Linked DNA regions of Drosophila melanogaster. The protein of the gene in region 1 interacts with the protein of each later gene in a biochemical or structural test. Each region holds a gene or a part of one and is shown on either strand. Other genes may lie near its edges. The genes, in order: btd and Taf4.

Region 1 (5,775 bases):
CCCTCCCCCCTTATTCTGCTGGGACAAAATGTTTCCCGTTTAATTATAAACTCTGTGTTGGGCAATTCATTTTGGGCTGGCCAAAGTGGGATAGTCGCTCGAGCTAAATTGACTCTCATTGGTTGCCTAAAGATTGAATATGTGCCCCTTGTGAGTTATGATCCCCAGTTGAAGTAAGGGGGGTGGGTGTGGGGTATAGATGCTGAGCTGCGGGAAATGGGATTAAATTAATTTCGCAGCTAGGAAAAGGACCGGGGATCTGGAATCTTGAAGAGATCTAAAAGTGGTAAGCCGCTTTTAGTGAGAAAAACTACTATTAAATCACATCCGATTGTTATGAAATTCTACAACTATGTGTATCTTGACTAAATAAATCATTGTATTTAAGGATATATACATATCACATTCGTACCTTTATTTATGCACATTTTAAAGTAAAGCAATCTATAAATGATGTACATCTCCCAAGCTAACAATGTTTTTGCAATTTTAAAGCGATGGCCGACGTTGATGAAATTATAACTAGAAATGCAGACAGCTATAATGATTGCTATTGAAAAAGTTTCTATTATTATCCAAATACCGCCAAAGGTCAGCACCCAAAAGCAGATCAAGTTCGCCGGAAGTCGGGAAGCTTCCTGGATCCCTCGATTTATATGCAAGAAAGCAACCCCTGGCGGAGATCAAACAACCCTGAAATCTAACCAAGCCAGGAACCCATTAACAAGGGTGCGTCGGGATCGGAGAGAATAATAAAAAACTGGATTCGCTTTGTTTTCCGATATTATTTTGTTCGTTTTTTTTTTTTATTGTTAGGATTTCATTTCAGTGTGGGGATTTTGTCGCCTTGGATTTTTCACTTTTTGTTGTTGTATATAATTTATCTTAAAGACAATTAACAATTATTATGGTACACAACTAGATGGTTTCTCTCATTCTATATGGTATGGCTTAAAAAGAACGCTATATATGTTTGTATGTACAGACATGCAAAAAAAAATGCCTTAGCTACTAGATTGGGGGAAAAAAAATGAAAAAAATTCAAGTTCTAGTCTCTACATGTATAGTTAATATATGTGTATGTATATATATATATATATATTTATATAATATTATATAATGCCTTATACGGTATTTTGTGAATTCAAATTTTTTTTTGATTTTCACATTATATTTTTATATCAACAATAAACACTGAAAAAAAAACACACACTAGATTTTCGTTCTACGCTTGCTTTGTTGCCGTTCTGGGTTTTGGGACATTATGGCATTTGTTTCATCAACTTTCAACTGTAACAATTTTGGGAAGGATCGGGGACATCCTAGGCGGTGGCATGTGGATGATAGGCCGCTGCCCACGCATTGTGATGGTGCGGATGTGGATGCGGATAACCGTAACTGGCTGTTCCCGCACCAAAATCAGCCGGATAACTGGCCGCATACTCGGACTTCATGTGGCAACTGGAGCTGGAATCCTGGCTAGCTCCGCTGGCCAATCCGCTCATGGTTAGCCCATATTCCGCCGCCAGCTGGGACTCACTTTGCATGGCAAGTGCGGCATAATGATGCTGGGCCAGCGCCGTGGCTGATGCGGCTGGGGAAGATGCAGATCCAATGGCAGAAACGACCGCTGCCGCTGGGGAACTGGCGCTGGAGGATGAGGATGAACTGGCTGAGGTAGTGGCTGGTTGTATGGCACGGCTGCTGCTACTGCTCCACGGCTGCTCCACAAAGCTGGCCGCCGCCGATGATGTTGTCGTCGTCATCTGCTGCTGGAAGAGCGGCGGCGGTGGCGGCGGAGGATTCACACTCGATCCGGCGGATGTGGAATGCTGATAGAGATTGGCATAGGGCGCATAGTTGACCAGCGGTGTCGTATCCGGCTGCTCCTGCTTGAATTCCACGGGTGGCGTCAGTGGCTTACCCGACTTCTTCTCCTTCTTTTCCAGCTTTATCGCCGCAGCCGCCTGCTCCTTGGCCTCGGCGGCCAATACCTTCTTGCTCTTCTTGTCCTTGAAATGGGTCTTCTTGTGCTTGCTGAGGTGATCGCTGCGCGAAAACTTCTTGGAGCAAATGGGGCAGGCATACGGGCGGTAATTGGTGTGCGTACGTCCGTGCCGCTGCAGCTCATCCGATCGGGAGAAACGCTTGCCGCACGTGAGGCACAGGAAGGGCCGCTCGCCGGTGTGCCAGCGCAGGTGGGTCTTCAGATGCGACGCCTTACCGTATAGCCGTTCGCAGCCCGGAATGTGGCAGATATGCTGCTTGCGTCCGCGCTCATCCGGACCCACAATCGGTGGCAGGCCGCTCATCTCGTTGGTGCAATTGGGACACGTGCAGCGAACGGAGCGGCGTTGCAATTGCGTCTGGAAGGCGATGTCGTCGAAATTGAAGCCCGGATAGCTCTGTGAACTCCATGGCTGATAGAGGCGCTCCTGATGCGAGAACCAAGCGGCCGAGGAGGACATGCCCACCGCATTGCCGTAATAATCGGAGGCGTACTGGGCATATGGAAACTGACTTCTAGATGGAGAAAAGAAATGAAGACAGAGAATGGTTAATTTGGTTTTTTTTAATCATTTACTTAATGGGTACACCTGCTATCGGAATACTAAATTGTAATGTATTCAAGTGGTACCTATCATTTTATAAGTTTATGAGATTATTTGTATGCTAATCCATTTCAATCTTCGGGATAATTTGATTAATATATTCCTATGTATTAAACTGTATAATTTGCAAAAGATATATGTCTTTATCTCGCTCATGATCGAAATACAATCAGCCTGTAGTTATTCTATTAAAAGGAGATCTAATTCAGATCGAAATTAGTGTATCCCTAATAACCACAAATTTGATGATCTATAAGCTTTGATTTATTGATCACTAGCATTTTAAAGTTTCTTTCTTACGAATGATTCCCAACTCAACTTCTGTAAATCCTATATATAGGGATATTTACCTCGCTGGCCCCAATCCGGAGTAGGCGGTATTCCAGCCGTAGGCGGCACTGGCGACCGCCGCTGCTCCAAGGTCCGCTGCTGCCGCCGCAGCTGCTGCTGCCGCCGCTGCAGCCGATGCTGCTGACGAGGATGGTGAGGAGGATGTGGGTGATCCCGCTAGGGCGCCCGCTGCCGCCGTTGTTGGTGGCGCCAAGGTCGTGGTGGGCGTGGATGGACTAGCCGAAATGGAGGCGAATGACTGGGCAGGTGATGGGAAGATGCTGGGCGACACGGAGGCCGATGATGGCGCCGATTGTATGCTGGAGTTGGGCGATGCGGTGCCCGTGGATGAGGCCTGTGGATACGGCAGTTCCAGCTTCATTGGCGGCTTTCCATATAGCGGAGAACTGCCGGAGCTGGAGCCGGAACTCGAGCCGGATAGGGATGGTGGGGCGGACAGCAGGGCGGCGGCGCTGAGGAAGTCATGTTGCTGCTGTTGCGGCTGTTGTTGTTGCTGCTGTTGCTGCTGCTGTTGCTGCTGTTGTTGTTGCTGCTGCTGCTGTTGCTGTGTCAAGTGTTGCATATGCTGCTGTTGCGCCTGCTGATGCGACAAGTGCAGATGATGTTGCGCCTGCTGCATGTGCAGATGATGTTGCTGTTGTTGCGCGTGTTGCTGATGTTGCGCATGTTGCTGCTGCTGCGCCTGATGCTGTTGCGCATAGGGATTTAAGTAATTGCAGGCCGCATCGATCATGTTGAAAACGCTTGCGATTTTAATGTTGCGCTGAGATTTGTTTGGATCCTACTGCTGCGATTGCTGCTGCGTTTTACTGCTTCTGGTTGCTACTGCGTTCGTTAACAATTTTCGCACATTGCTCTTGCACTTATTGATATTCGCTCGTGTAATTATGGCACGCTTTTCACTTTAGTTTTATAATTATAGTCTTTTGCTGCCGCGCACGTAATTGCGAGCACGCGGAGGAGAACACGGAAAAAACACAAACAAATTAAAGGCGGCCGAAAATTCGCCAATGCTGCGTGCAAATATATATATATATATATCCCTCTATATATACAAATCTATATGCATATATATATATATAGATCCGAAAACGAGCGAGTTTCTCTGCTGCCACTGCGGCTGGCTCTTCTGCTTCTTCTTCTTTCGTTCGTAGTGCTGCTGCTGCTGCGCGTGATGTGATGTGATACAACCACCGGTAATTATCGTCGATTGTCGACTGAATTCCAAAACGCGGCGAGAGAGTCTAACAACGTACAAAACGAATCCACTTGGCTGCGGGCAGAGGCGCGGGCAGAGGGCAGCGGCAGCGCTGCTGCTGCTCGTGCTGTCACATTCTCGCACTCGTCTATCGCCACTGAGCGCTGAGCCAGCTCTCGCTCTCTCTCGCTCTCGGCACCATCATGGTGGTTGTTTTTGGCCGCAACGGTGTGCCTTCGGGGCAACTCGCTTCGTCTCGCTTGCACGTGTGGCGCGGAAGTGTCACTCCCGGCAGCAGCAGCCACTCTCCGTAGCTAGCTCACTCTCTCTCTCTCTTTCGCTCTTGCGGTATGGTGCTCTCTCTCCACGTTGCTGTTGCAGTGTTGTTATTGCTGGCGCTGCTGCCGCGGGCGTTTTGTTTTAATTTCTATGTGTGGGTTTGTGTGTCAAAGCAATTGGGTGAGCATGCGTTTTGTTGTTGCTGTTGTTGTTGTCGTTTCAGCTAGTGCTCAAAATGCTTATATTTGTTGTTATTGTTGGTTATATCTAAACTTTAAGCCAAAAATGTTGGCTTAAATTTAATGCAAAGTTTGTATTTAAGAATATGTGTAAATAATTTACATTATTAGCATTTTTAGTGAAGTATTTGAAATATTTGATTAGTGAAGTATTTGAAATATTTTATTATTTAGTTGGTTAATCTATATATTCCATAATTTATGTTTATTTTAACCCTATCAACCCCTCAAAATGTGTATAAAATAAATAACGTATTCACGTATCCTTTGCAATTCAAAATAAAGAGCTTAGCAAATATTTTAGAAAAATTGTATTAATTTTTTTTAAGTCTGCTAACTTAGAGATAGTTTCTAACTACAAATTTAGTTTTTATTTTCAATTTTAAACATTTAAATTTCTCATATAAACCTTAAGTACACACAAAATATAGGTATTGTTACATATATCCGACCGATTTTTAATGCCCATAAATTACTCGACATTTTACACATTTCAAGTACCGTCATTAAAAGCACGAATATCTGCTTAAATTCTCATTATCCCCTTGCCCACTCAGACCATCAATTTGTTTCGATGAAAGTAAGCAGACAGAGAGAAAGAAGTATGGCTCATCACTTTAATTAAATTAAAATTTCTGTTTAATGGCATTTTTCTCCAGAGGATCCCAATGATAAAAAGTAACGTTAGAAGACGAAGAGGGAGCGTGCATAATTCAAATATCAATACAATAACAATAAAAACTAATAAATTTGTGGTCGCGGCCCAATGAAATAACTGTATTTAAAGGGGCGTTGACCAAACACCACCACAAAAGAGACAGCAGCTCTCTCCTTCGCTCTCTCTCTCTCGCATGGCCTGCGCCCGTTTCGTGTGTGCGTGCGTTTGTGTATGCTTGTGTGCCGCATATTAATCACAATTGCTGTTGCTGTTGTTGTTTTCGCTCCCTTTTTATTACGCGGCGTCTTTTTTATTACGCATACGCAACGTGGGTCTGAGCCACAAATTTTACGACTTGCTGCTGCTGTGAAAAGATAATGATGACTCCCAAAACGGAACAAGCTCACGGAAGTGCATCTCGACTCTTAAGCTACCCAT
Region 2 (5,092 bases), on another chromosome or scaffold:
TTCAGATGTTGCTGCTGTTGGAGCTTCTGCTGCTGCTGTTGCTGGTTAGTAGCGGGTTTGTTGTTGTTGTTGGTAGTGGTGGTGGTGGTGGTGTTGGTGGTGGCATTGATACTATTATTGTTATTATTGCTGGATGGGACTGTGGATGATGTACGGACAATCGTTTTGCGCAGTGCAATACTAGTGCTGGCGGTTGTGCTGGTTGCATGTTGCTGCTGTTGCGATTGTTGCTGCTGTTGCGATTGCTGCTGATGTTGTTGTTGTTGTTGGTATCTACTTACAGCTGCAGCCGGCACAGTTTGCAGACGGATCTGTGTGGTTGTGGGATGGTTTGTGGTGCTTGTCGTGTTGCTGTTATTGCTGGTGTTGGTTATAGTCTGTGTCACCGTCGGCGGACCCGTCGTCGTGCCCACGCGCAACAGCTGGAATCCGTTATCCGTCTTGACCAGCAATGCCGGGGTCTGACCCGTATTAAGTGTGCTTAAAGTTATCTAAAAGTAGAGAGAGAAGACAGAGAGACTCGGTTTTCATCTGCTGGAGCATGGTGTGTATGGTGTATGGTGTGAGTGAATGGTGGGCTGTGCACATGCGTGTTTGTGAGGAGCGTGGCTGGGTTAGGGAGCTCTGTGAGTTAGTAGGGAAGAACCCACCACAACAACCATAGTAATAGCAATATTATCCTTCATACTCACCGATGGACTCTGCGGTCTCACGCCCGCCATGTGGGAGTTGATCACCACGCGACTGAGCGGGTTGGTGGGCACATTCTTCTGCTGCTGCTGTGACGGCGCCTGTTGGCGCATGCCCACCACCACGCCAGCCGGCAGCATTGAATTGAGCAGCGGTTGACCGGCCTGGCAAATACGCAACATTATCATTAGTCTATCAATTCATCTCATCACATTTTCAAAGTCTATTTGGACCAAAGGATGCATTAAGAGGTTTTGCGGGATTCTAAATTAGCCTACATCATGCAGCAGTTGGCTCGGCAAAGGACCCCAATTAGTGCGGAAATAAGTTGTTTAACTGATTCTCTCTGTGCTAACCAAATTTGAAGGCGTATAATCTACTATATCTTGTTCTATTTAAAGCGAGCATTGAAAGCAATAGTTCTACAAATGTAATGGTTTGGATATTGGTGTAGAATAAGGTTTCTGTTGAACAAGTGCGTGTTTTTGAACAGTTGTTAGGGATTTGATCTTTGGGAAACTTTTCGGCATTGGGATAAAGTATTTCAAATTAAAGATATGTCTTTTATGGTGATTAAACTGCTTTAAGTTCTAATGAAGTGAATTGATATGACATTCGTAAAAAAAGAAATTAATTTTAAATAAAAGTACAAAAATGAGTGCAACAAACTCAGATATAAGTTTCAGATTTCAACTCAGATATAAGTTTCAGATTTCACATTAATGAATTAAGGATATTTTTTAAGCGTAAAATACGTTATCAAGCCTGGGACTAACCCCATTTGGATAAGGATATGGGAATTTCGGGCAGCGAGGTAGACAGATGAAAGCATAATAAAAGTATACAACCAAAGTGTGTGCGGCCACTACTATCCGATTCGAGCGAGGAATTGAGGGGGTTTTGATTGGGGATCAGATTTGGACGAAGTGATACGCCCGAGTTGCGATCGCCTAGCGCCCGAAGAGTGGGTTTAGCTTTAATATGGATACCTGATTGATGGTCTTGGTCATGGTTACGATTCCTGCTGGTGCACTTGAGACTAGACCCGCCGGCAGGGTGACAGCATGGTGGTTGGATTTAATAACTAGGGTTTGTGTTTGGGTGGCACCTACGGATTGCGTCTGCTGTTGCTGCTGTTGTTGCTGTTGCGACTGCTGCTGCTGTTGGACATGATGCACCTGCTGAAGTCCCTGATGCTGACCACCGATCCCCGCCTGGATCGTCTTGATGGTGGTGGTATTCGGTAGCTGGGCCGTGGAGATGACCGCGCCGGGATTGCCGGCTATGCTGATGGTGCCATTGGGCAGCGGCTGGCTGGTGAAGGTGATGCGATTGCCGGCAGCTGTCTGGCTGGTGTTCATCGTGCTGTGTGGTGTTTATGTTATTGGCGAGTGTGTTTCTCCTATTCCACTGACTTCTGTGTGTTGGTGTGGGCGAGCGATCCTGTTCCGATCAACTAGTTGCGCACATCCTGTGTTGGTGTTGGCGGAGTTGTTGCATGCTGTGCGCTCCAGAAGCGAACTGCAATGCAAGGGGAGGCGCTTTTAGTATTTATACAAGATTCGGCTCGAGGCGGTGGAGAAACAGGTAGGCGGTGGAGGTGCTACCTGACCGCCGGCTACCTGGCGGCCGTGCGCCATAAACCAGATGCTGCGTACACCTGGATGCCGCGCACAGGTAATCGCATTCACCTTGGCCAAAAAAGCGGGTGCTCCGCTGAATTGGTGCTGCGCTGGCTCACTCGCACTCGCCTTTGCCGTCACTGTCGTCGGCCTTTCTCCTGGCGCATCCGTTGCAGTCGTTGTCGCGTGTGTGTTATCTCGCTAATTCGCTGCCTTTTGTTTGCGCCGCTAAGCCTTTCTACACTTTTCCCGATCGGCGGGTTTTCCTGCGCACACACACACTCGCGCGTGCTCGCACGGACTGATTGTTGAGCACTGGAAGAATGCTTTATTTTGATTATTTTGATGTACAAAAAATTTGGCAGCGACGGTGCCAGAACGCCGCCATTTTCACGAATGCGCGTGCAAAGCGAAAATCGAGGCTGGTGGACGTTGCCAGATAGCGTGCGAAAAACACGTAACCAACGATCTGGCAATGCCGCTCGTTTATGCGGGTGGCGAGTGCGCAATATTCGTGAATGCACTAAATTTAAAAAAAAGTTCAACTCGAAAGTGGAGCACTTAATAATTGATGATTTCTATTAGGAAAAATTCATATTTTTCGAAAATCCGCATAAAAATATTTAAAACAAAAAGAAAACAAATGCATCTTGTACATGTCTCCAGTGGCAATATGGAGCATCGTGCCAGCCGTAGTATTAGTAATTTCTACTTTAGTGGCCAGCGGGTGGTGGCATAAACCCACGTCCGTGTCTGTGCGACTGTGTGCGTGTGTTTCAGTATAGGTTTTGTACAGCCTGCAATGTCGGGGGAAATTTTCTGGGCCCTGTGGCAGATGCACTCACTTCAATTCATTTTGCGTTCAAACTCGGTGCACTGGGGCGCATTTTAAACGATTTCCCGTTGCGTTTCTCTGGCGATTTAGCCGAAAACCGAGTAAATATTGTTTACGGACCGCCGAGGTACGGACGAGTTGTGCAGTGTGACCGTTGGCGACAATATCGTCGTGTTAAACGCGATACCGAATTAAAATACTAGAAAAGAAGTAGTGACTTGGATATCATGTCGATTTTTTATAGCCTTGTTGCGTACATTTTCAAAACCAAAAACGTTTGCTGGCATTTTGATGCCATCGGATTTTAGCCGCATACCAAATTAATTATATGCTCATTAGTTTTTATATGGGTAATAAGCCACAATTTTTAAGGATCAAAATAATTTATTTTAATACATTCGAATACGATACATTTTAAATCCTTTGAACTATTATTAGAGTACTGTTTAAAGCTGAATGTTAGGTAATTGAATAAATGAAGAATACGCTCAAAAATTAGAAACTACTAAAACTATTATTAGAGTACTGTTTAAAGCTGAATGTTAGGTAATTACAGAATTGAAGAAAATGCTCAAAAATGTTATTATTTTTTTATATTTAAACGCTATTTGCTCATATACTTAAATCATATATATATTCAAACGAAGGAGTAGTACTTTGTAACGGTCAAACAATCGATAGTTCCACTTTGATACCGAACTACATGCCCCACCACCAACGTGATGGTATTTTTGTTAGTTTTCGGTATCTTTGAAATGCTAAACTTCAGCACAACGGGCAAAATAATTCTGTAGAGCGAGTTAAATACATATCGTACAAATAGCGGTCTTAATAAAATAGACCATACCAATTTTAATATTAAACAAATTCCGTTAAATAAGCAACATATATAGTGTAATGGTATATTTTCCAAAAACTTCCAAAAATAAAAAGTGGTATTTGTTTCAAGTCGGGCTCAACATAGTATGATTATCCGATTACGCTGCGGTCACACTAGTACCGGCCCATAGAGACGGAAGAAAAATTTTATTTAACCGATTTCAGGTAATTGCCATTTGCATTAACTGTTTTTTAACCATGCACAACTAGGGCTAAAATGCCGTTGGAAAAGAGATCGCCACGTGTGCTCACTCGCATGTGGGCCAGACACGCGAAAAGTGCGTCCAAAGCTGCGGGGTAAAAATCGATAGAGAAAAGCAGATGAAAAACGGATGGGAAAGTGGTGGGGGGAGCTCCTTTCTCAACATGACGTGACTAAGACCACTTTGCTTTTACAGCTATAAACAGGCTATTACTCGGAAAGCACATATAAATTCCCGAATAAATCCGCATTCGAAGTCCCATAAATATTGACAGTCAGTCGGATAGGACAGCTAATGTAAGTAGAGCACTTGGTGGGGATGGGGGCAGGTCCAAAATGCAAATGCAAATGCCAATGGTAAACTAGTAAACCGCAGACAGATTGTCAAACAAATTCGATTTTCGTAATTGCAGCGCACCGCGACAATGGCCAACAACAACTACGCCGGGTTTAACTACGGCGGCACCCAGTACAATACGGGCCAAGTCTCGTACCCGGCGGTAACCAATGCCACCTACGCGAATGCGGCCGCCTATCAGAATGCCGCTGTGGCCGCCGGACAGGGTGGTTATGGCGGAGCAGCAGGAGCGGGCGCTGGCGCCACCTCTGGCCCTGGGGCGGGGGGTTATGGTGGCTACGGCGACTATCGAAGTGCCATGCAATACGACGCCACCAAGACATTCTATCAGCAGTCGCCGGCCAGCTACAACGCCTCCGGTTCGACAGCCTCGGTCAGCAAGACGCACTACTCGGCTCCGCCAGTCAAGAATCAGGTCAAGGGCAAGATGGACAAGTCGAACGGTGGTCCCAAGCCCCCTAGTTCGGCTCCTCCGGCGGGCAACAATTACAGTGGCTATGATACAG

The links.
Region 2: the proteins of btd (region 1) and Taf4 form a complex in vitro, tested with the Drosophila melanogaster proteins (one study listed by BioGRID).

Annotation. Positions count from the first base shown.
Region 1 is NC_004354.4:9,692,595-9,698,369, reverse strand, and holds btd (buttonhead), read right to left. Parts: upstream 4,185-5,775; 5' UTR 3,697-4,184; coding exon 2,963-3,696; intron 2,524-2,962; coding exon 1,323-2,523; 3' UTR 812-1,322; downstream 1-811. UniProt on the Drosophila melanogaster protein: Required for the development of the antennal, intercalary and mandibular segments of the head.
Region 2 is NT_037436.4:16,111,431-16,116,522, reverse strand, and holds the start of Taf4 (TBP-associated factor 4), read right to left. Parts: upstream 3,312-5,092; 5' UTR 3,158-3,311; intron 2,734-3,157; exon of another isoform or gene 2,639-2,733; 5' UTR 2,382-2,638; intron 2,216-2,381; exon of another isoform or gene 2,212-2,215; 5' UTR 2,052-2,211; coding exon 1,680-2,051; intron 855-1,679; coding exon 693-854; intron 492-692; coding exon 1-491. Other genes in the region: Zn72D (Zinc-finger protein at 72D), read left to right, coding at 4,654-5,092. UniProt on the Drosophila melanogaster protein: TFIID is a multimeric protein complex that plays a central role in mediating promoter responses to various activators and repressors.